Drosophila melanogaster: one gene and its partners. The protein of the gene in region 4 binds, or shares a complex with, the protein of the main gene of each other region. Each region holds a gene or a part of one and is shown on either strand. Other genes may lie near its edges.

Region 1 (5,321 bases), on a different chromosome or scaffold from region 4:
TATCCGTCGATTTCACATGACAGTGCAATCAATTCCTCCTGTAAGTCCCAAGATTCCATTTAAATCTCATTTGGCCATTTCACAACTGTTTGCAATTTCACTGGCGCACGCCATGCGTGGCTTGTATCGCACACATTCAATGGAAGCGGGCCAGACATTTGTTTTACAGTCTTTCAGGGCCGTTATTATCGGCCGACACTTGCTCCGTTTACACTGGACACTTTGGCGGTAATAAGCGGCCGTTTTTGGTTATCATTCGGTTGAGTTTTCTGTGTTTAAATTCAATTTTAACGCAATTCGGAACCCACCGGCATGTTTTTTCTTTCACAGCTAACACGGAAAAGGAAGTGGGGTAAATCGCAGCCAACTTAACTTGCCCGAGAATGCACTAAATAATGCTGAACAGCTGGGCGATGGCAACTCTGCTGCTCACGCTTTCCAATACTGGAGTGTGTGTTGCTTGAGTTCAAAATTTATTCTGACTTTATTCGTGTATTAGCAATAAATTTTATAAAAAGCAAACGCTACACAGTCGATATTAGGCATTACTACTATTACTATCATTAAAAAGTTCGCCGACGTATGACTACTTAAATATTGTTATGTTTCTTTTTAAGACTAGCCATTTTTATTAAAACTTGAGGCACAATAATGTAAGCATTAAACATAATAACGAATATATTTTCGAATAACATTTCTTTGCGTATTCTGTTTTTTAAAAGTGTAAAATCTTGGAAAATTCTTCCACTGATTTTTGGTCATACTAAAATAAACATTTTTTTGGCGCCGGCTAATTGTTGCATATATCCCGCGAATAACAAACAATATTTATAGAAAGATGCGATCTGTCATCGAGCCCGACCACAGCATCCAGCTTAATGAAGCCATCTACTGCTACGATATATGCACCAATGACTTTGCCTACAACCTAATCGCAGTGGCCTTCAGGAAACACTTGAGTCTGCTGCTCGTTGGACTGCCGGTGGGTTTCCATGCATAAGACCAGTGAAGGTTGAATGATTTTGAATGGTTAACCCTTAATCCGCAGGAGGAGAGCGGCGAGTTCGGGTACACACGCCTGCAGGACATGGACCTGGGCGAAAAGGAGCAGCGGAGCGTGAGCGCACTGGCCTTCTCGCCGGACACCTCGCTCAACTGCACGCCCAACAATGTGACTTTGTGCGCGGCCAACGGCAGCCAGCTTAAACTATACCGCACCGATCTGGGCCAGTTCACCTCGCTCCAGGTGCTCCGTGGGCATGGGGACTACGTCAACGATGTATCCTGGGTTTGCGACGGCGAACTGCTGGCCTCCGTTAGCGATGACTTCACCTGCAGATTCTGGACGACGACAGGCGGCGGGGAGAATGTCATAACCTTTGGCCTGTCCTCCGCTGGAATGTCCGTCAAGAGTCACCCCGAGGATCCCAACAAGGTTCTTGTGGCGGAAAAGAAGGGTGTGCTTGCTATTACCAGTGTTTAGCCCGCGGTGTAACTAAGGAAACTCCTTGCAGGCATCATTCATCTATACAATGTGACGCTCAAGCAGACAGTCATCTCCGTGGAGTCGCCCAAATTCCCCCTGATGTCGGCGGACTGGGCCCACAGCAACCGGCTCTTCATCACCTCGCTGGCCGGCGGAGATGTGGTTACCTGGGACCTGAACCGACCCTATGTGCCCGCGGATGTCAAGCAGGTCCACGAGGATTGCGGCCGGGTGGTGCGCTTCGCGCCAGGCAGCTCCGAGATGGTTATCGCCATGGTCATCGGGCTGACTCTCAAAGTGTTCGCGGCCAAGTCGACCGTTCCTCTGCTGGAGGCCTCCCTGAAATCCTATGGGGGAATGGCCTGGCACCAGCGATTGCCGTACATTAGTGCGGTTTCCGATAGGAAACTGCTCTTCTGGAAAGTGCAAATGAAGTAATTTATATAAAATTGTATGAATAATAAATAAAAGAATATAAAAAATATGATATAAAAAAGATTTATCAGAAGAATATCAATGATCTACACTCTATTTCTATATTTATATTTCATAATTTCGTTAAACTATCATAAGTTTTATATTATTCTTGAACCTTCTTTAATTTATTTATTAAATCCCTTATACTTATTTGTTTGTTCGAAAAAAAATCGTAGCAATCGATAGTTGCTATAGTCATTAAAACATCGGTGACGCGATATATTCGCGCCCATCGATGAAAACGCGTAGTCATCGTTTTTTGTTCCAGCACTAAGTTTGCACAAATTTTTTGGTTTCCGTGCTGTTCAGCTTAAGTTTTAATTGGAATTTAGTGATATTTACGTTCCAATCTACACCGCAAACGAGTGCAGTTTGTTGCGACTGGAATTGCCCATCCGAATCTACGTGATTTTCCGGCCGGGGCAATTAACCGTTCGAGGAATCTGCTTCAATCGGATGACGAGTGAAGAAGAATCTAACGCGAAGCACATTTTTGCAAGGTCTCGTCCACTGCAAATTGGACGTGTTTAAAAAAGTACAGATATGTTTACAACGCGAAAAGAAGTGGACGCACACGTCCACAAAATGTTGGGAAAACTTCAGCCGGGAAGAGAGGTAAATAAACGGCCAAAGTGTGCATCGGAATTTCCAAAAAGAAAATCATTGCGAAATCTTCAGGCGCCGCCATTGAAAGCACACCGTTGTGTGCGTGCGGCGTCTGCTTGTGTTTGTGTGTGTGAGTCGGCGTCACTTGGCCGTCGTTTTTGAGATTGAATAAGAAATTGCGCGCTTTTCTTTCAACGGCTGCATTTCATATACTTGACAAATAGAACGCTTTTTTCGCAGCTGCATGGCTTTCGCCTTCTCTGTATAAATCAAATTAGATATTTGAGGTTATGTGTACCATATCAATCTGCTAGAGTGAGCGCTGAATTTGTAAGACCGCCAAAAATAATTCGAATTTCCATTGTGGATTTGAATGATTTTTTGCGGTCTAACGTAGCTCTATCTAAATAATAAGCACACAATAAGTCAAATCTTACAAAGTTATTCTTATCCAGCTCACAGTGATTGTCTAAAAATTTAACAGACTTTTTTGAACCTAACGTACTAATCAATAAAATGTATATTGTAGCGCGATATCAAAGGCTTGGCTGTAGCTCGATTGTACATGAAAGTTCAGGAATACCCAAAAGCCATCGAGTATTTGAACGGCTATCTCCGGGTGAGGGACGACGCTGTAGGCCATAACATGATTGCCACTTGCTACAGTAGGCTGAACCCGCCCGATGTGACAGAGGCCCTGCAGCACTACCAACGTTCTATTCAAATTGATCCGCGTCAGTCAGAGGTTGTCATTGACGCCTGCGAACTTCTGGTGAAGGAGAACAACGCATCGATCACGGAGTGCGCCAGGTACTGGTTGGATCAGGCTAATAGCCTTGATTTAAGCGGCAACAAGCAAGTCTTCAACCTGCGAATGCGTGTAAATCTTGCGGACAGTAACGGCGAAAGAGATGACACCAGTGGCGGAGACGGCGAGCAAAATACCCTCGAGATTCTTATGTACAAGGAGCTGCAGGCGCGTCCCCAGGATGTTAATATACGCATACAACTGCTGCGCAGCTATGTTGAAAAAATGAAAATAGACCAGGCCTTCAACTATGCTCTAAAAACGGAACTGGAGTCGAAAAACTGCACGAGCCAGTCGAACGAATGGTACGAGCAGATCTGGATGGTCCTTTTCAAGATAGAAATGGCCAAGGATGTAAAGAAGAACTGGCGATTTTGGCACTTCGCCTTGCACACTCTCGATCGTCTCGTGCAGCTAAGCCTGGAGGGCAGTGGACTGGCAGACAGCAGCAAGCAGTTGTTCAGACTTGATCAATATCTATTCAAGTTTAGCACTTCGATAGAGAGGTCAGGGGACGCTCCGCAGCGGGATCTCCACCAGGCTTGTATTGACCACTTTACCGGCCAGCTTCTGCTTCACGCGGTGACACTGATTTTCAAACGTGAGGTTCTGGCAAACAAAAACAAATGGATGAGCACGCTTCGCTCCGCTTTGCCACTTCTGCTCCTTGGTTACCAGGTGCGACCGATCGATGATTCGAGTACCAACCAATGGATAAAACACTGCGACGCGGAACAGAAGCAGTTGATACAGATGTGGCGCCCTCAGGGCGCCTTTCGATGTGCCCAGCTTGGACGAACCCTTTTGGGCTGCTTGGACCGGTCACAAATGGAAATTAAAAACGATAGAGAAAATGCCGAGTTTGATGAGAATAAGAATTCGGGAAATTCTATGCCGGGATTATTTGCCGACTCCGAAGAGCTGTTGGCCAGCGCTCACCAGCAATGCTTGGACAAGAGCTGGCGAAGTCAAATTTACCAACAGCTCTTTACCCACGCCGAACACAAGCTAAAGGATACGTCTTCGCATCTGGTGCGGAACCTGCGTCTGCAGCTGCCTCTTTTTGAGTGGCCGAATCTGGCGCATATCGAGAACTACGAACTGCAAGCGTTGGTGCTGCCGCCACACTCCTTAGCCCAACATGTCTACCTGGCTCTGGGCACCGACCCGAACAAACTTGGAGATGCGCCACGCGTGGTCTTTTATGAGGGTTTCCAACGGGATGTTAAGCAGAATCTAAACTACTGTGGGCAAGATTCAATCAGCCAGGTAGATGTGGACCTCTACCTTTATGCCACAACCATTCAGACCAGACGTAAATTGCAAATCCAGCGTGAGGTGTATGACTCCTCCAATTTGGGAAACCGCAATGCTGCCGCCCGGCCACATATGATGCCATTTGCCAATCTAGTGGGTCAACTAGGCGCACCGGAGCAAAGTAACTGGTGGGATCTGGTGGTGCGACTTAACTCGAACCAGCTTATCACTGAAGGCAATCGCGCCGAGCAACGAGCTCAACTACAACATGGATTGGAAGCGGTGCGCGGCGTTAATGGCCCAAAAGCAGATGCCATCATCATTTTTCAATTGGGAAAGATTTTAAATTCCCGATCGGATCGTTCTTCTCTAGAAGCGCGTATCGATACCCTGTACAGGCAAGGATTTTCAATTTTACGCCACCAACACAACCAGCAGATGGAATCCTATGTCCGCGTCTTTAAGTACGGATCCGCCGGCTCAACGGCAGCATGGCAAGATCTTCAGTCGTTGGCTGAGGAAGCCGTCACCTATTTTAGCGAGAAAATGTTTAGGATTGGACAGTATGAGCAGTTTTTGGACGAGGTCCGGGGACTTCATCTGCCCATGGCCTACTTTTTGCAATCGGAGGCGTGTCATCATCTTGAGGAATCTTCCAAGCTGCCTCGAACTTCCCGAGATCGTTAC
Region 2 (5,346 bases), on a different chromosome or scaffold from region 4:
ACCACGCCGGGCGCCCGTACATTCGGGTAGAGCTTGATGGTAAAGTCACTGGTCACCGGCTTGTGATCACTGATGGTGTACAGGGGATGGGACTTATACGAGCATTGCTCAATGGATAGCTGCATGCCGGGCTGCCGGTTCAGTGGCTGCACGGCGTACATTATCCGATCCGTCCAGGCTGGCCGCCGCTTCAGGTCGTACTCGGAGGTGCCCTCGCGGAACTTGAAGGTGGGCGGAAAGGCGGGCAGTCGCTCCTGCAGAACCTGAAAGGCCAGCTGCGACTTCTCGCGAACTTGATACAATTGATCCCGCTGGATAAGGGCCTCGTGCTGGGACTCATCGCGTACCAACTCGCGCACTTCCGTCGAGGAATCGCTGCCCTGCAGTCGGAAGTTCAGATCGCCAAACCAGAAGACATAGTCGTGATCGTAGATCTCCCTATACCGCTTGACGTGGTAGTGATGGTTCTCCAGTATCTGCTTGTAGTCCTCGATGCGCTCGTCCATCATATGGTCATGGGCAGTCAGATGGGCCACCACAAAGGCCAGTCCGCAGCCGTAAAGGGTGAACCTGACACTGACGGCGCCCTTGTTGCCCCAAATGCCACCGAAACCGGTCCTCGTGAACTCCGCCTCGATGTCCTGCAAGTGCTCAACGTGCTGCCGCCTCACGAACATGCTGAGCAGCAGCCCCTGCATCTGCTCGGTCTTTACGGCCACATAGTCGTAGTTGCGTAGCAGTTCCTTAGCCTTGTGCGTCCACGGATCCTCCTTGAACAGTCCCAACACCTGTTGCTGCGGCTGGGCATTGACCTCCTGGAGCCCCAACGCATAGATGTCCGGCAAGTGGGCATTAGTCTCCTTCGTGTCCTTATCCACCGTCACATCCTGCAGTCCCAGCAGATGGCGGAGGGATATGTTATCCGGAAATCGACTGCCCACATTCCAGGTGACCACATATACCCGGTAAGTTTCCAGCTGTTGCTTCCCTTTGCCCTTCGATCCGTCCGGCTCCGAGTCCGGAATCTTGGGTGTCTTGCTAGCCTCCGTTTGGCTCATTGTTGCTGGACTTGACAAATCGAAGAGATTAACCCAACTGGCTGCTCACAGCAATCAAGTTGTTTACCCAACCGATTAAGGTTTTATTGTGTAAGTCGATTCTTTATGCCTTTGTGGATTTTGTTGCTCCAATCTGGGTTGCTGGTTAAGTTGGGTGGTGAACAGCGGCGAGGGCGGTCGGTAATTGCTGAAAATATTGCAGCACAAATAGTTTTTAACACTTGTTTGCCCAGCAGCAGCAACAACAACAACTGTGCTACAACAACACGACGAACACAATAACAACAACTAGGGATGGCAAAACTGAGAAGATGACGATATCGACTAGCGGTATTTATTTTCCAGCCCTAAAAATGTAAATTTCTTAGACGTTAAGAGGTAACATATTTGATTCATCTAGTAGTAAATTCAAGTTGTTTTAAAATGGCTTGCTAAAATTGAACCAAAACAATATGGTTTCCCCTATAACCCATTTTTTAAGATTTATTTAACATTTATACTGTATAATTTCTTTGTCATATTTGCACCTTAATAAGGGCTTTTATATTTGGCGCTCATATTATGTTCGTTTATTATATTTGCTTTATTTCTAATGCAGAATCTGTGGTCACTCTAGCACTCGCTGAATTTTAACTCGCTGGAAATTCTTTTTAGGACAACTATCGATTAACATTAGTACAGTATTTAAACTTTTGCATTATCACACAGCCAAGTAAAAACCTAAACAAATACCTCACTCCAACTTAAAGATACAAACGAGAATTCCTTTTAGTCAATGCAAATGCTTAGTATTCAAATGACAACACAAGCAAATGGTTACATATGTTATAAGTCGCACTTGAAGCGGTTCTTGAGTAATAAGCCCGTATGGCAGTTCATCACCAATTAAAAATATTTAATAATTACAGACTTCCAAACCGTAAACGTGCATGTAACCGATAGCTGCAGGCAACGTATCGATTAGCACACGCTGCCCGACACGCCGATAGTATCTGACAAACATCGATTTTGGTTCCAGCTCTACTTTGTGGCCACACACGCGTTTTTTCCCCAATCAAATCGTGCTCTTTTGAAATTCTGTTTCTTGCAAATCGGTGGTGCGTGTTCTCGTGCAACAATGGAAAACCTGAATGCGACCAGCGGCAAATGTTAAATTGCAATTAAAAGTGTGGATTTCGCGGCGGTAAAACGCCAAAATTCGTACCGAATCGCTGCGCGCGTGTGTGTGTGAGCAGAGCGTGAAGAAGAGGAACGAAGAATTGCGAAAGCAGTGTGTGCGGAAGAAGTGGAAGAAGCACAAAGACAAAAGGAAGGTGAAAATATATCAAATATATATCAAATCTATCCGGCAAAAGTAAAACAAATATTGAAGAAAACGGGCGGCATGCTGGAAAGCGGTAAGGGCAAAGCCAAAAGCAAGAACCTCGAGCGCTTCGCCCGAATTCGGTATTCAATCCTTTTTCCCGCCTCTAATTTTGCAGTGCTTGTGCCCAGAATTTGCTCTTCATTGGTGGCCAAGAAGTCAAATCCTGATCAAACGCGACCAGTTTGTGGCGCCAAACAGAATATTATTTAAAAATATCGCGGCGTGTGTAAAACCTCGGCGAAACGCGAACAAAAAAAACCACGACGGCGTGCGTAAGCGCACTCACACCTTTGCACACGCACAGACAGAGAGAGAAGGCAGGATAGAGAGTGAGAACGAAGCGAGTGAGCGAACATTATCCGCACCTACACATACAAACTAGCTCGCAGGAATTGCAACAGTGTGTGCTTTTTTTTTGGTTTTTTTTTTTACTTACGTTTTTTGTTGTGTGTGCGGCAACGCTTCTTTTTCGCGTTTTTTTTGCATCTCTCTTTTGTGCCGTTGCTTCGCCGGCTAAAAAGGTGAGTCTGAATCTAAAGCGGCATAATGGAGGATGCACAGGAGCAAAGGGAATCCTCGCAAGCCGAATTGGCCAAAAAGCATCCGCTGACGCCGCTCAAGGAGCTGCCTGAAGAAAGCGAGGAGGAGGAGGAGGAAGAGGATGAATCCTCGGCGGGAGCCCTACGGGAGTCTGACAGCAACAACGTAAGTACAGTCGACGATAACTTGGTTCCCATCAAATATCCAACTTCCGTGCAATTGCAATTGCAGTCCATCATGGGGAAGATGAAGATGCGCGTGTCCAGCATTCTGCCCGCCTCCTTGAGCGGTTGGTTTTCGCCGTCGTCCAAAGATGGGAACGATGCCTTATCCTCCCCAGCTAATCTCCGCCAGTCACAGCCACGCCAGTCCAATGGACGCCTCACTACCAAGCGGAAACGAGGACGCCGTCGGATAATGCTAGCCGAAGTGGATGCCGATGCAGCCGATGATCTTGATGACGGCTCCGATGCCAAAGGCCTCAACTATGAGGAGGTGGCCCTGGCCGACAACATAGCCGAACACGACCTGGCCGCCGAGGATGAACAGACGCGGCGGAGCGAGTACAATGTGTTCCTGCTGCGCAAGCGAGCCGGGGCTGTTGCAGCTGCCGGCGGTGACGAGGATGAGGCCGAGGAGGATGAACTGGAAGAGGACGACGAGGATGGCGATGAGGAGGATGACGATGAAGAGCAGGAGAATCTCCAACAGTCCGCCGCCGTGCAGACCAAGCGTCGACGCCTGGAGGTAAGATCACATCTTCAATCCTGTCTACATTTCCCAACTAATCTTGAATCCCTTTCAGCTGGAGACCCCCGTCAATTTGCCGAACATGCGTCGTCTGCCCCTTTTGTCATCCACGCCTGCTGCTCCGCTCGCGGCTGCCACCAGCTCCTCCAGCTCCCAGATGTACAAGGGCGTCAGCCACATTGCGCCACATCGGCGCAATCACCTCAATTTGTATGGTAGTCAACGGCAGCGCGAACCCGCGTACAACTTTTTCACGGGCAACGAAGCTGCCGAGGGAAGCACCGGGGATCTGCCACACAGGTATGTTACTGCAGTCATGCTTACTAAAAGTGTTAATATGGAATTCAAAAAGATAACTACCTTAGAGCTCGTTTCAAACAAACTCAAATTTGGGCGTTGCATAGCCAGGCTATTGCCAAGACGAAAAAGAAGAAAACCTTAGTGAAAATTATAAGGCAATCATTTAAATCATTTTAGCATCCGCCGTTCACTGAACATACCTTTCGGAGGCAGCAGCACCGCTACCAGCTACAACAACAGCCTATCCAGCCTTCCTAACCACAAGCGACCATCGCTCATAGGCAAGCAAACCCATCGACGCGATCTTACCATGGATGAGACGGGGACTGGCCCGGCCATGAGTTCGGAAGAACATCTCAATCATTTGCTGAGAATAAGCAGGACCAACAACAATACTAGCAACAATAATAATAATAATAATAACAACAACAATGTCATTGAGACAAAAACAAGACGAAGTGAACTGTCTGCGGCCGCAGGAGGTTGCGGTGATTCGCAGTCCGAGAGCGATATGAACGAATACCACGACAATGGTGAAGGGCACGACGGACTTCGTCCGTCGCATTACAACAGCAACAGCAATTTAGAATTTTACGGAAATCTGCAGAGCTCCAAGTCAATATTTAACAGAAGCAACACCGCCGCACAGCAATCGCATCGGAATTCTACGTGGTCGCTGAATTCCCTTACCCAACGACGTCGCTTCAATGCGTCCATATACGGCAGTACGTCGGCACTGAGCGACAGTCGTCTGCTTAGTGGCAGTGCCTCTAACTCAGGCTCTGCATCTGCCTCTAGCTCGCCCTTTTACCAGGGACGCACCACCTTCGGGGGCAATTCCGGCAACAATCGCCTCTTCAGTCGCAGCAATCTTAGCTCATCCGCCGCATCCTCAATGTTGGGACTCAATTCTGCCGGCAGCTCACCGGCGCATCAGCTGCATGCTTCCATGACTGGTGGTATTGGATACGGTATGAAAGCGGTAGATATGCGACCTTCAGACTCCGGCAGTCTTGCGGAGACATCTGTGGGCCAAGGTGGCAGTAAGAAACCCGGTACCGGGCTGTCGAACACCACGATGCGCATTCTCAACCTACTTGAAAGCTACTCCACGCCATTGATCGATGCCAAGCGAATGGGGAGCAGCATCAAGGAGCATCAAAGCAGTCGCCAACAGCGCCAGGGTACGCCAGCCACCCCGTATCTACGTTCCACGAGTGCCAGCCGCAATGTTTCGGTGCCCAATCACATCAACGAGTTGGCGGAACTGCGCTCTAACAAACTGCTGGTGCCGACGATGCAGCAGCTTCTGGAACGTCGTCGTCTACACCG
Region 3 (8,307 bases), about 11 Mb from region 4:
TGCGTCCGTAGACGGTGCCCGGCGGATGACGTAGGCGGCGGAGATTAGCTGGCCGCTGGTAGAAGAGCGGCGGCTCCTGCTGATAGATTGGCCTCATGGCAACGGGGATGCATTGCCCGCAGCACGGATCGCAGATAGTTCCTGGCCGCTAGAACGCCGAGCAGAGACTGCCGTAGCTCGGCGTCTAACGCTCAGGCGAGAGGTCTATTAATAAACCCACGATCGGGTCTAGAGAGAACCAGCAACAGAGGAGCACTCAATGTTTACACGTAGGAATGCGCCGCAGTTCCGAATGTTGCGACAGAGGCGTTCAAGAAAATAGCACCTCAGTATCAAGATATTTGAATCTTTAATTTGGAAAGGATACTTTAGCGAGTAATGGGAGAAATCGCCTCGATTTAATTCCTTAGATGTAAGAACTATATATCTTGACTATGATGTTAGTTATTGATTTGAACCGATTACTAATTTCATTATCAAAAGTAAAGTCTAGTTCGAAGTTAAGATGTATTGACATAATGGAAAATGCTAACGGAGGTATTGTGTGCTTGAACAAATGAGGTGCTAGCTACTTGGCCGCGACTGTGCCACACTATGGGCAAGCGTCGAGTTGCGATCTATAAATATTGACAACAATAGCGGAGTCACAGAGAGTCGCCGGGTCGCCGACAGGCTATATCCACATGTTCTGCACCCAAATCGGGCGAGGCGAGTGCGTCGGCCTCGGGAACACAGAGACGCAGAAGCTTGGAAAGTTGCAACTCCAAATTAGGAGTTCAATCGAGGGTTACACACACAGGCCGCGCACACTCGCGCACAAGTGAACGGTACTTTGCGACAGCTGATTAATAAACAAACAATCCGGCAATCAGCGAATCGAGGAACCACGGAAATGTATAAAACTTAGAAATCAGAAGCGTGACGCCCACACAATTAGGAAACGACGACGGGCTTCGTAGGTGCTTTTCTCGCTTTCGAAGGCCGAGCTTGAAAAGTTAGTTTTGTTTTTTTTTGGGGGTCAGCAGCTGTAGCGCTCTCACTCGCACTCACACTCACTTGCGGTGGCTATGAAGTCGGGATTTGCTATAGTAGTAATCGGTTATTACTCACATTATAAGCCGCGAAAACAGGCTGCTGATCATCTTGAGCGTCGCCTGGCTGCTCTAGGGGAAAACTGTAGGGTATTTAATTAGAGTCCACTCCGTTATCCTGGCCTCCTTTCCAACCCCAATTTTCACCTGGAATTTCCTTGACTTTTCCGTAAATTATGTGATTTGGGGTACTTTATGGGCAATATCGAAATAAAATCCACAGATTTCTGTTTAAGTCGATTTAAATTTCATTTACTTTTTGGTAACTGCGATTGAATTCGAAGGATTTCGAGATTAATTGGCTACGCAATTTTTAGCACCGTGTTGCGTCGCCTGTGGATAATTGCGAATCGCCAGCTCGACCTCTACTACATGGCTTTGTGCAATCACAGTCGAAACAGCCGATGCTTTGTGCCCTGCTTTGCAAATGCATTCGCATTGCCCGCGAACAAATCGCTTTTGTTTAATTCTCAGCAAACAAAAAGAAACGCTTGTAGGACAGAGACAGACGAACAACAACAAGGCTGCTGCGCTAGCGATGTGCTGAAATTTTCGTTCTCGCACATACTGTCCAAAACAAAATACCGTCTGAAAAAATACCAACAAAGTGCAATTGCCATATGGTCAACCGCTAAGACAAGATTGGTGAATACTTAATTCAAGCTAAGTTGGTTTCTTTTAGTTAACAAGTTCATCAGTTAGTTATAGGAGAAAACTATTTTTATATAAGATTTTATCCCATTTTCTTTTTAAAGGAACATCTATGAAATTTAAATCAGATTGTATTGTATATGTTGTTGGATTTTTTGGTGGTGAGTTTTTGTGGTGAGTTTCCTGAAAGTGACCGTACTGCAAGTGGCGCGCTTTTTGCTTGCCAACGTTTCCAACGATCTCAACTTGCAGCCACACCATCGACTCGATTGGGAAATCGACAAGCCGCAAAAAATTTGGCGAAATAGGAGCGAAAACAGACAAAAATGGCGCAGAATGCACCAGACTGCGAGGACACGCAGGTAAGCACAATTGCATAGCACTGAGATGTCAAACATTCCATTGGTTTTGGTCGCAGGACTTTCAATTCAAACTGCACCACAAGATTGTTGCGTTCAAAAAATGCGGTGAGCCCCGCAGCAATGTGAACCTGCTGGCGGTCTCCAGTAGCCGGGGATTGCTCTTTGCCGGGAGTCCAACGCAGCCGGAACTCAAAGGTAATGTAGCTTGAGTTAGCTAGGCTAAATATATAAATTTATCCTGGCACTCCTTGCAGTGATTATTGTAAAGGATTTGGTCAATGCGAAGAGCACAGCCCAACAGCCGCAGGCGCGTCTGGTGCCACTGCCCAGTATTCCGAATTACATTGCCTGCAGCTCCGATGGCAACCTGCTGGCCGTGAATCACACCCAGAACGGCACCAGCCTGCTCAGCATATATGCGGTGCTATCGTTCATGACCCCTGATGTACGTCCTGTTTATAATATTCGCCTCGCCGCCGAGGATCACGTGCACGGCGTCCAGCTCCTCTGGAATCCCGTGCTGCCCAACAGCCTGGCCGTTGTTTTGAGCAACGGAGCGCTCGCGATGTATGCCCTGAAGGAGGGGGGAAACTTTGAAATGCACTCGCTGGACAAAAATCAACAAGTTAAGTGCGGCTGCTGGTCGCCCAAGGGCAAACAGATCGTTCTTGGTTTTCCCGGCGGCACGGTGAAGCAGTTCAAGCCGGATCTGACTCTGGCCAAGACGCTTTTGTGTCCTCCGAATATACATGATGCCCCCTTTGACACCATTGCTATACAGTGGCTGTCGACTTTCCAGTTTGCAGTGATCTTTCTCCAGCATGGCGAGGACTGTAGCCCCTCGCTTTACATTCTAAATGCTCCCAAGGCTGGTGCGCCCAGCTACATAAACTACTATGACATCTGCTATAGCATGAACGGCCCGAGGAATCATCAGTTCGTATTTAGCCATGTGCCCCAGTGGAATCTGCTGCTCGTAGTCTCGGCCAATGGCGTAGAGGTGGGCATCATGCGGTCAACCGAGGCCGGCGATACACCCGCTTGGCAGCAGCTTACATTGCTGGATGAGGCACGCATTGAAATGCCCCTAAGTGAGGACAAGGATGAGACCTTCCCGCTGGGCTTTGCCTTCGACACTTCTACAACGCACCAGCTGACGATAAATGAGAAGAAGCTGCAGACTATGCCCATGGTTCATGTTTTGAGTTCGGATGGAGAATTGCTCTCGTTCAACTTTCTTAATGTGCTGCCGACGGCGGTGTCTGTTTGTTCGCCACCTCCTCCAGTGGCCGATACTTCTGGGCAGTTCAAGCCGTTGAATATGCTGCTTGCTAGTGAGGAAGAAGAGCAGCCAGCTTGGGCAGCCAGTCCCTCCAAGGCTCCAGCTGCAACTCCTGCTGCTTCCTCGGACATATCCTTTGCATTTACACCGAATACCGTTACTTCAACCCCAGCTCCCTCGAAGGATAAGCAACCATCATTGTTTTCTGGCTTTGGAGCAGCTGCAGCTAAGGCACCTGCTCCGCAACTATCTTTTGGTACTGCTCCGACTTCTAGTCCGGTTTCGTTTGGTGCTCCAACTACCAATGCAGCCAAGCCAACAACACCGTTTGGTGGGTTTGGCACGCAGGCAACGACTACTGCCATGGGAAGCATGTTTTCGGCTTCAGGAGCAAATGCCTTTGGGGGAATGGCATTGAATAAACCGGCTATTGCCAGTGTGACACCCCGAACAGCGGCACCTGGGTCAACAGTACCCGCAACTCCTGCTTCTGCTCCAGCAAACAAACCACTGTACACGGTTCCTTTAACATTCACACCAGTGGACACAAAACCAGCCACTTCAGCTCCTCCACAAATCGCAGATGAAAGTCTTAAGCCTGATGACACTGAGCCTATTATCAAGGACATGATTGCCCTACAAATCGAAGCCTTTAGCAAGGATATCCAAAAGCAAAAGGAACAGACGAAGGAACTCCTCAAAGGCGTAAGTAGTGTTGGTATTACACTGCTTCATGTATTAAAGTTGTTATTCCGCAGATTGCAGCACCATCTGCTTTGAGGGCATACGCAAAGAGACTGGATGACCTCCAAGAGCTCAATGAACAAGCCAAGGATGTGGAGTTCGAGTTAGATGTACAGGGATTGCGACAGGGTCTTAATGAGGCCTATGCCATCGTAGCAGAGTGCCGCGGGAAACTGGAGATTTATAGAAAACCAGAGTGGGTAAAGGACTCTTTGAATATATAAGCTATTTAAAACCCGTAATTTTCGTTTAGGATTACGCGTTTAATGAACTCAAGCTCCTGTGATCCCTCTGGCCGTCGCATGCTAGCTCGTCTTCAGAGCTACGTGGCTGCCAATGAGGCCCAGCTGCGTCTTGCCCAGCAGCATGTCGATTTGCAGTGGGAACAGTTTCAGGATGTTGTGCGGCGCAATTCGAAGTCTCGCATGCACATGCCTTGCCTAGAGGGAATCTATCAACGACTGACAAGACTACAAAATCTAACTTCTAACCAGCGAATTGTACAGAACAACATCAAGTCCAAACTGAAGGAGCGCGGATTGCTTCAGGCCGCACTGCTCGACCAGGAGAAAAGTCGCACCCGCACCAACGAAGCGTTAGTAGAAGTTATTGTGACCTCTCTCTTTATGCGACTATAACTTTTTTATTTAGAGTGGATACATTGACCGACTCCATTCTCACGATGAGTCTTAGCCAGGTAGTGGACTCTAATGCAGCCAAGCTCACTCGAGAAAGACTACAAAAAATCCGTAATATTGTTCAGCTGCAGAAGATCAATGTTATTTGTCCCCAGCGACCAGATCGAGTGGGGCTCAAGTCGGAGGTTATTTTGGAAACGAAACGTAGGGCGGAGCAAATTAAAAGGGCAGCAGCCAAGCCTGCAACAGCCAACAAATACACCCAAGCAGCAGTCGCTCCGCCTTCACCACCAGATGTTGCACCCACGCCAGCTGTTGCACCCATGCCACAAGCAACTGTTACAGTGGCTCCTCCGCTGCCTAAACCAATGCCATCTATACCGTCCGTTGTGGAAAAGCCTGGAGTGCCCACACATCCGACAACTCCAGTGGCTACGCCATTTTCCTTCAGCCAAAGCATCCCATTTGTGAAGACATCTACTGTGACGCCAACGACAAATACTGTGACTCCTGGCGAAGCAGCCAAGCCGGGTTTATCCATTTTCGGCGGCAGTACTATTTCCAGCTTTAGTTTTGGTGGTGGTGCTGCCAAGTCGGCACTCTCATTCGGAACAGGATCGCCAGCCGTGGCAGCTCCTACACCAAAACCAAACCCGTTGTCAGCGGTCGAAAAACCAACACCCGAGCCGACTAAGCCCAAAGAGCAGAAAGCAGCAGAAAGCAAAGAATTCAAGGCGGTACAACCCGAAACAGAAGAGTCAAAAGTACCCCAAAAACCAAAGGCAGAGACGGAAAACAAATCCTTTGGATTTGGAGGATTTACAGGAACTGGAGGTACTGTCGGAAATACTTCCAGCTCCCCGTTCAGCTTTGGCGGACTGGGTTCATCTCTAGGCTTCGGAGGAACAGCCGCTGCTGTGCCAAAATCTGAACCTTCCAGCACAGCAACCACTAGTGTAGCCACATCAGCTTCAACTGCACCATTTGGCATCTTCTCAGCAGCTTTGGCGAAACCATCCAACTCTGAACCGATCACCACGGTCACTAGCAACACAACCACCATCACCAGCAAGCCTACGAATGTAATTGCTTCGAGCAGCGTAACTGATGCTCCTTCCGTCACCACAACAAATGCAGTGACCAGCAGCACGGATCCTATTGGAGGCCTCTTTAGCTCTGTGACTATCTGCAAGCCCAACACTCCTGCAGGTAAGCTATAGTTTCCTTTATCAATATACCTTACGCATAAATGTATACGCTTATTTGGCATAAACTCTAAACGGCTATATATGTCTTTTACTTTGCAGATACCACCAAACCAGCCAACATTTTTGGAGGAGGTTTATCCGCTGGTAGCTTTTCATTTGGCGGAACGATTGATGCCTCAAAGGGATTATTCGGCAGTACCAAACCAGTGGCAACAGCTCCCACAAGTGTGACGGAGGCGAACAACAAAACTGATCCTATTTCAACCACCCCATCAGCCATTTCGACTACTACTGCTACGACGACTGTGTCTAGTCCAGCAGTAGTTCCTGCGGCAGTTACCGCAGCAGTTCCGGCAACATCGAGCACAACGGTAACATCTAGCACTGCTGTTCCCGGCAGTGCGTTCTCCTTCTCAAACGCATTTAGCACCCTAAGTGCGGGAGGTGCTGCAGCTCCAACTACCAGCGCTTCAGCTCCCTTAGCTGCCAAAAGCCCAACCGCTACATCTACAGGCAATAACTCGTCGAATTCAGTGTTTGGTGGTGGCTTCGCAGTAGCAACATCAACAGCGGCTCCAGTGGCTAGTCCCTTTCAGTCAGCTGCAAAAAGTCCAGTTTCGAGTGCAAACATTTTTGGCAGTATACCTAAGGCGGAGACCAGCGTTTTCGGAGGAGCTACAACTGCTCCTTCAAACACCACGGCTGCGGCAACACCAGATGCACCACCAGCGGGTCTCTTTGCATCGGCCGCGATTAGTAACCCTTCGCCGTTTGGTAGTCCCACGACTAGAGCACCAGCCTCTGGCGGTAACATTTTTGGTCAGGCTGTTAAGCCAAGTGTCTTTGGACAACCAGCACAAGCAGGCGATAGCGGAGGATCTATTTTTGGTGGCGGATCCGCCAGTACACCTTTTGGATCCAGCTCAATTTTTGGAGGAGGTAATACGCAGGGCGCAGTCGGCGCTCCGGCTGCAGGAAGTACTTCAATTTTTGGCCAAAAAGTGTTTGGTCAATCATCAGCGGCTGCACCGGCAGCAGGTGGGAATATATTCTCCAATCCCGTCGGCAGTCCGCAAGCTTCTCCTTTTGGTGGCGGAGGAAACTCTATTTTCGGATCACCAGCAACAGCTCCGCCCGCATCTGGCGGATCGATCTTTGGGGGTGGCAGCAGCTCTGGTGGATTTGGCTCCTTCACGCAGACGACACCAGCTCAGGGGGGCTTCGGTGGTGGATTTGGCCAGGGCGGGGGTGGATCTGTGGCCCAGACAGGTTTTGGCTCACCACAAGCCCCGCAGCAGCAAACTACGACACCAGGTGGGTTTGGAGCCAAGCCCGTTTTCGGTGGATCCCCGGCCTTTGGAGCTAGCCCCACTTTTGGGGGAGGTGCCACCTTTGGCAGTCCGAAGGGTTTCGGTGGATTTGGCGGTGCCAGCCCAGTAGCCTCCCCTCCACCCTTTGGTGCTGCTGCAAAGCCGGCACAGGGAAACATTTTTGAAACGTTGGGGGGACAGGAATCGGGACTCTCTTTCGGAAATCTAGCACAGACTGGAAACTCAAATGCACAGAAACCAGCGTTTGGCGGGTAAGTTCGACCGACATACATACATATGCATACTTATATAAGTATTTCCAAGAATGCATACGACTAACGAAATATTAAATTTTACTATTTCAGATCGAGCTTTATGAATTATCGTTGAGTTCATAATAAATGTGTTGCATAACTCAATAGTTTTGCTTGTTCAGTTTTCATGAAATAAGAATACCAGTTAAAATTAAAAATCTTAAATCTTAAATCTTTATTAAAATTAAAAAAAAAAAAACTGTGTTTTTACTTCACGCGAAATGTGTGTACTGAACTTTATTTAGTATTTATAGTCTAGTATGATAAGGGTTTCTTTTTTTATGAAATACTTGCTATGGTATTATGCTCATGCTAAGGTTATCACCTATTTCATTCGAACATCTCATGAGATGCAGACACGTCTGGCTTGGATTCCCGTCATTTTTTGGTTCCTCAAAGATGTGGGTGCTTCAATCTTCTTGGACCAGATCTGTGGAATCAATATCGCACTCAAAATCACCGGCGGGCATAATGCAGCATTTCAAAATTCTGTCTGGATGGCAGCTGTACACAATCGGACACATTTTATCTGCGGTGGCACGCTGATTCATAAGCGTTTGTATATTTCAACGGAACGAGATTAATTAATAATACAAATATTGCTTTCTTAGGATTCGTTTTGACAGCTGCGCATTGCATAGTTGACCAAGACGTCCAGTGAGTATAATTTGATTTACTTTGAAGTGAAGATGATTCTCATTCCGATA
Region 4 (5,312 bases):
GCACGGACTCCACTTGGGTCTATCGCAAGCACTCCGGCACGGACTCCAATCGCGGAAGTCGTCGTCGGCGCAATGTCTTTGCCAACGACGAGGTGATATCCAAGATACAAGCCCACTTGGAGAAGCCTCTTTCGCCGCCGAGTGTGGTCAGTCGCGGACTCAGCAAGAGCATGGAGATACCCACTCCGGTTAGCAACCTCAGTGATCTCAAGCAGCAGCCGGTGGAGCAGGCGGAGCTCGGCATTCTAGACTCCCAGCTGGTGGAGTCCATTATCGATGGCGACGGCCACCTTGCCGCCGATGAGGATGACGATGACGACGAAGAGCGGGGACCACGCACTTGCTGCGAGCGCATCGAGATGTACCTGGACATCAGTCTGCTGCAGGACCCGAGCTTTATCCTGATGTGCCTATCCGTCACCTTGATGTCCGTCGGCTGTCCCTACATGTTGTACTATCTGCCCGCCCACGTTATTTCAATAGGTATACTATTTAAAATGTTCAAAGTATATTCTTTCGGCGTACGATTTTAAATATTATAAACTTGGTTCATCTTTAGGATACAATAAAAGTGAGGCGGGATACCTGGTGGCCATCAGCGCGGTCCTAGATTTAATTGGGCGCCTTGGACTTGGCTGGCTGTGCGACCTGCAGCTATTCGATCGCAAGAAGACCTACACCTTGTGGTGAGTACCAGATAAGGTTTATTTTTCGATCCAAACTAATCACATTTCCCTATATCGACAGCATTTTGGGCGCCGGATGTGCCGTGCTCACAATTCCCTTCGCCAAGACTCTGGTTTTGGTGGGTCTATCGGCCGCTGTCTACGGACTTTGCCTGGGTAGCTGGTATGTACTTATGCCGGTCCTCCTTGCGGACGTCTTTGGCACGGACAGGATCAGCTCGAGCTACGGGCTGGTGAGGATGTTCCAGAGCATCGGGGCCATATCGGTGCCTCCGCTGGCAGGACTGATGCGAGACCTTTCCGGAGACTACGAGATATGCTTCTACTGCATGGGATCCTGCATGGTGCTCGGGACCACTCCGCTGATTGTGTGGTCCATCCTGGAGGCCCGCAACCATCGGTTGTTTGTTCAGCGCGAGGAGGAGGAGTGCGAGGAGGCCTAGAAATGATTCGGATTCGTTGGTTGCCCCATATGTTAATAGTGTTTTAGTAGCGATCAAATACTAGTTGAGTTCCTGAGTTTCAGAGTTCGAATGCCTCACCGATATTGCTGATTCTACCAGTTACTATTACTACTATCCGTACGTTCTCATCCGTATCTTTGTATCTTAATCAATCCCCATGCCCACCCGCACCCAATCGCTTGTTATCCTTCCGTTGAGCAACAGCAAAAGGATGTGTAAGATGATGATATTCAAACGAAGAAACCAAACAACCTAAACAACCAACAACTGAGCACCAAATGTTGCGCAAAAAGAACTGAGTTTAAAAGACATGAACTACAAATACCCGTATATAACTTTATAATATGATAACTACGATCAATGCCCGACTAGATGGTTATATAGGCCGACTATAGTTGTAGGTTCGCACATCCATATCGGAAAGGACTAAACTTTGTGCAGGAAAAATTAAGTGGCTTTAGACAGAAGGGAGGCTTGAATGGAGAACATCACATTACATTACCCTAGAATTAAAATAGTTGTTGTGAGACATTTACCCATAAAGACAATTACCAAATAAACACGAAATCAAAAGGTTAATCGCGTTTTATGGAATTAAAGGGAATGATTTCGCTTGGTTTGGGTTTTGCATTCGTTTATGTTATTAAATAAAGTCCTTTCTTTTTTTATTCGTAATAAAAACGGATTTTTCAACCACGTTTAAAAAATTTTTTTTATGAATGAATTTATCTCTTTTTAAAGAAAAACATTTTGTTTTATTAGGCTGTGAATAGGCTGTTATAACGCTGTTGAAACAGTGAGAATAATATACTCGAATCGATAGTACCGAAAAATATCGATATTGTTCCATCTCCACTGCATTGACGTTCATTTTTTCGCGTCCCTAAAGCGACTTTGTGCACAATTCGCAAAAAATTAAGACTAAAGTAAAGTAAAAAGTAAGAAAGTAAACTTCGCACCGCTCCATATAAATTTAACCGCTGCTTGACAAGGATCAACTGCGAACATGGATCTCAGTGGTCCACAAACTCTGAACAACATACTTCAGCCCGACGAGTTGAAACTCGTGCCGGAAGACGTCCAGAAGAAATTGTCGGAGTACATCAACAATTTCTCAGATGAGTACTGCAAGAACCGTGCGGCCGCCAATCGGTTGGGTAAGTTTTTATATTTGTATATATACTAAAATGCGCCATATTTTGCAAATAACCCTTTATTTGCATGCGTATGCTTTTACCTCCAACTTTGCGGCGTTTACCGGCTCAGATACCGCTTCTTGTAATAAGCAATCCGCGACTGTATGGTTTCTAGCGTGGTAAACACTCTTGCGCCATTTACATATTTTTTGTATAGAAATTTAAATATAAAATTCCGGGTTGTTGCAATTAAAAACAATGGCTGCTTGCAGCAACATTATTTTCCTTATTAATTTTCACCTCACCGGTGTGGTAACACTGGCCGGACATTTTCCCACCAAAACAGTTGATTAGTCCGAGTTTGAAATCTTCAGGGAATTTCTGTGTATTCATTTTAATCCAAATACTTTGTGGTTACTTAAATCCAGTTAAGAAGATTATTTATTTTTGCCCTTTTCACAGCCGAAGCCGAGCAAAAAAAGGAAGAGCTGGAGAACAAAATGGAGGACTATCTAGTAAAATTTACCAGCTTTGAGTTAAATGTAAACGAGCTGCGCACTCATCTAGATCAGATGTCTTCGGAACGAGTTAACCTAATGGACACGATCGCCAAAGGCGAGCAAACTATATCACAGTTGCGCAAGGAAAAGGCGTCGGTAGTTGAAGAACGCGATTCGATGATGAAGGTAATCGAGCGCCAACAAGCGGAGCTGGAACGATTGAAGCAGGATCTGCACACCTACCAGCAGCAGCTGAGCAGCGCGATTGCTGCCAAGTGCGAAGCCATTGCTCGCGTGGACGAAATTCAAAGTAAGGAAGTGGCTCTGGAGCTCAAAGAGAACCGCATGGAAAGCGAACGCGATATGCTGCACAAGGAGATTTTGTTAATCAGCGGAGATCTGAACAAAAGCAACGCCGAGTTACAGAACATCCGACGGGAGCACACAATAAACACCATGCAGCTACAGTCTTGCCTTAAAGAAAAGACCGAATCGCTAAAGCTGATGCAGGAACAGTACGAACAGGCCGTCAAGACCATCGGGGAACTAACCAGCAAGATTGAAATGCAAAACGACACCGCCTTCAAGCAGAACCAGGCCACGGAAGAGTATGTGGGGAAGCTGAAAAAGGAACTTGATGCCAAAGAGAAGCTTTTTGAAATCTTTAAGAGCACCGAATCCGATCATCTGATCCAACGGGAGGAACTCCTACAGGGCATCTCCGAAATTAAACGTTTGTTAGAGGAGGCCGAAGAGCAGTGCGCCCAGTTGACGGAGCAAATGGAAACCATGAAGCAAAAGCACAGCGCTGAGTTGGACGAGCAAAATAAGAAGATTCAGGCTATGGAACAGGAGCTAGCAAGTGCCAACGATTTGCTAAAACAGGCCCGGGAAAGTAATTTGGAAAGCGCCATATGCCAGTTGGCTCCCAGTGCGGCTGTGGCTAGTCGCCTTATCCGCTCCGATCTATCGCTTACCGAACTTTACTCCATGTACGCCAAAAGCAGCGAAGAACTGGAGATGCGAAACTGCGAAATTGAGCAGTTGAAGTTGCAGCTCAAGTCGATCATTGCTGAGATTTCAGAGAGTGCACCGATTTTGGAAAAACAGAACTCCGATTACCAAAAAATGAAGGAAACTAACAGTGAGCTCCTGCGGGAGCATGATGAATTATTACAAAATAAGCTATGCCTTGAGCGGGAATTGGAAAGGGCCTTATCTACCCTTAATCACAACCAAAATGAGAATAAGAAACTAAAACAGACACACACCGATCTCAGCCGACAGGTGTGCATGTTGCTGGACGAATTGAACTGCATAAGGGCTGGAGTGAAACATGTACGTATCCAACCAACTCGTCAGCTACCCACCAGCGAAAGTTTGATCAGCGATAACTTGGTAACCTTTAGTTCTATTGAAGAGTTGGTGGATAGAAATACATACCTCCTGAATATGTCCCGCGAGCTCACAGAACTTTTGGAGGCTAGCGAAAAGAACCAAGATAAGATGTTGCTGGAGCAGTCTAAGAATCACATAAGAAAACTGGATGCGCGTTTTGCCGAATTGGAGGATTTATTAACGCAAAAGAACAATACGGTTACTACACTACTATCCAAGTGCGACCGCTACAAGAAGTTATATTTCGCGGCTCAGAAGAAGCTCGGTCAAAATACTGTGGATCTGGACGACTCCAATCTGGAGCCTAACGACTCTGCACTGGATACTTCAGAGCAGCCGGCAGCCAATTTTGAGGAGAGCAGGAAACTGGAAAAGAGGGTGCGACAGCTGGAGCAACAGTTGGAAGGGGAGGTCAAGAAGTATGCCTCACTGAAAGAGAACTACGACTATTACACTAGCGAAAAGCGTAAAAACGATGCACTGGCCCAAGAACAGTTCGATTCTATGCGTAAGGAGGTGCGGGAGCTAACCAGCAGTAACTGCAAGCTTATGAACACCACCGAATTCCAGAAAGAGCAAATCGAACTACTTCACAAAAATATAGGCACCTACAAGCAGCAGGTGACTACATTGGAAGAGCGTACCAAGAACTATGAAAAGACCATTATTAAACACGAGCAAACCGTACATTTGCTCAAGGACGAAATGATGGCGGCACACCGCAAGCACGCAGCAGCCGATGCAGAGGCTCAAAGCCTTCGCCAAGAGAACCGCATTCTAAGGGACACATCTTCTAGACTGCAGATCGAAAAGGAGACTTATCACCGCGAGCAGCAGAGCCAATCACTGCTTCTAAACAGTTTGGAATTCATAAAGACCAACCTTGAGCGATCTGAGATGGAGGGTCGCCAGCGTTTAGAGCAGCGTTTAGATGACACTGTACGGGAACTGGCTGCTCAGCGTCGTCACTTCCAGGAGGAGGAGGAGAAGTTCCGTGAATCAATTAACGAGTTTAAGCGACAGGCGGAGACGGCCATCAAGTTGAAAGATGAAGAAAAGCAGCTGGCAGACAAGTGGCAAGCGGAGCTTACCAGCGTTCGCGAAGAACTTGCTGAGAAGGTCAACAAG

What was found.
Region 1: Mgtor (region 4) and Nup358 share a complex: the UniProt entries of both Drosophila melanogaster proteins name them as parts of the nuclear pore complex.
Region 2: Mgtor (region 4) and Nup153 share a complex: the UniProt entries of both Drosophila melanogaster proteins name them as parts of the nuclear pore complex.
Region 3: Mgtor (region 4) and Nup214 share a complex: the UniProt entries of both Drosophila melanogaster proteins name them as parts of the nuclear pore complex.

What each region holds. Positions count from the first base shown.
Region 1 is NT_033777.3:25,247,125-25,252,445, forward strand, and holds the start of Nup358 (nucleoporin 358kD), read left to right. Parts: upstream 1-2,223; 5' UTR 2,224-2,506; coding exon 2,507-2,578; intron 2,579-3,098; coding exon 3,099-5,321. Other genes in the region: RpS27 (ribosomal protein S27), read right to left, coding at 309-314; Nup37 (nucleoporin 37kD), read left to right, coding at 839-982, 1,049-1,457, 1,515-1,924. UniProt on the Drosophila melanogaster protein: E3 SUMO-protein ligase. Component of the nuclear pore complex (NPC), a complex required for trafficking across the nuclear envelope.
Region 2 is NC_004354.4:16,597,185-16,602,530, forward strand, and holds the start of Nup153 (nucleoporin 153kD), read left to right. Parts: upstream 1-2,056; 5' UTR 2,057-2,455; exon of another isoform or gene 2,456-2,539; 5' UTR 2,540-2,970; coding exon 2,971-3,129; intron 3,130-3,195; coding exon 3,196-3,711; intron 3,712-3,769; coding exon 3,770-4,014; intron 4,015-4,191; coding exon 4,192-5,346. Other genes in the region: CG9784 (uncharacterized protein), read right to left, coding at 1-1,058. UniProt on the Drosophila melanogaster protein: Component of the nuclear pore complex (NPC), a complex required for the trafficking across the nuclear envelope. Functions as a scaffolding element in the nuclear phase of the NPC.
Region 3 is NT_033778.4:22,918,416-22,926,722, reverse strand, and holds Nup214 (nucleoporin 214kD), read left to right. Parts: upstream 1-1,980; 5' UTR 1,981-2,068; coding exon 2,069-2,104; intron 2,105-2,160; coding exon 2,161-2,299; intron 2,300-2,358; coding exon 2,359-4,091; intron 4,092-4,144; coding exon 4,145-4,326; intron 4,327-4,383; coding exon 4,384-4,725; intron 4,726-4,781; coding exon 4,782-5,977; intron 5,978-6,075; coding exon 6,076-7,558; intron 7,559-7,651; coding exon 7,652-7,676; 3' UTR 7,677-7,786; downstream 7,787-8,307. Other genes in the region: ReepA (receptor expression enhancing protein A), read right to left, coding at 1-97; CG30187 (uncharacterized protein), read left to right, coding at 7,951-8,155, 8,212-8,257. UniProt on the Drosophila melanogaster protein: Part of the nuclear pore complex. Serves as a docking site in the receptor-mediated import of substrates across the nuclear pore complex including emb, RanGAP and phosphorylated Mad. Protects mbo/Nup88 from proteasomal degradation at the nuclear pore.
Region 4 is NT_033778.4:11,850,600-11,855,911, forward strand, and holds the start of Mgtor (megator), read left to right. Parts: upstream 1-2,017; 5' UTR 2,018-2,156; coding exon 2,157-2,307; intron 2,308-2,748; coding exon 2,749-5,312. Other genes in the region: Sln (silnoon), read left to right, coding at 1-483, 560-686, 748-1,129. UniProt on the Drosophila melanogaster protein: Component of the nuclear pore complex (NPC), a complex required for the trafficking across the nuclear envelope. Functions as a scaffolding element in the nuclear phase of the NPC.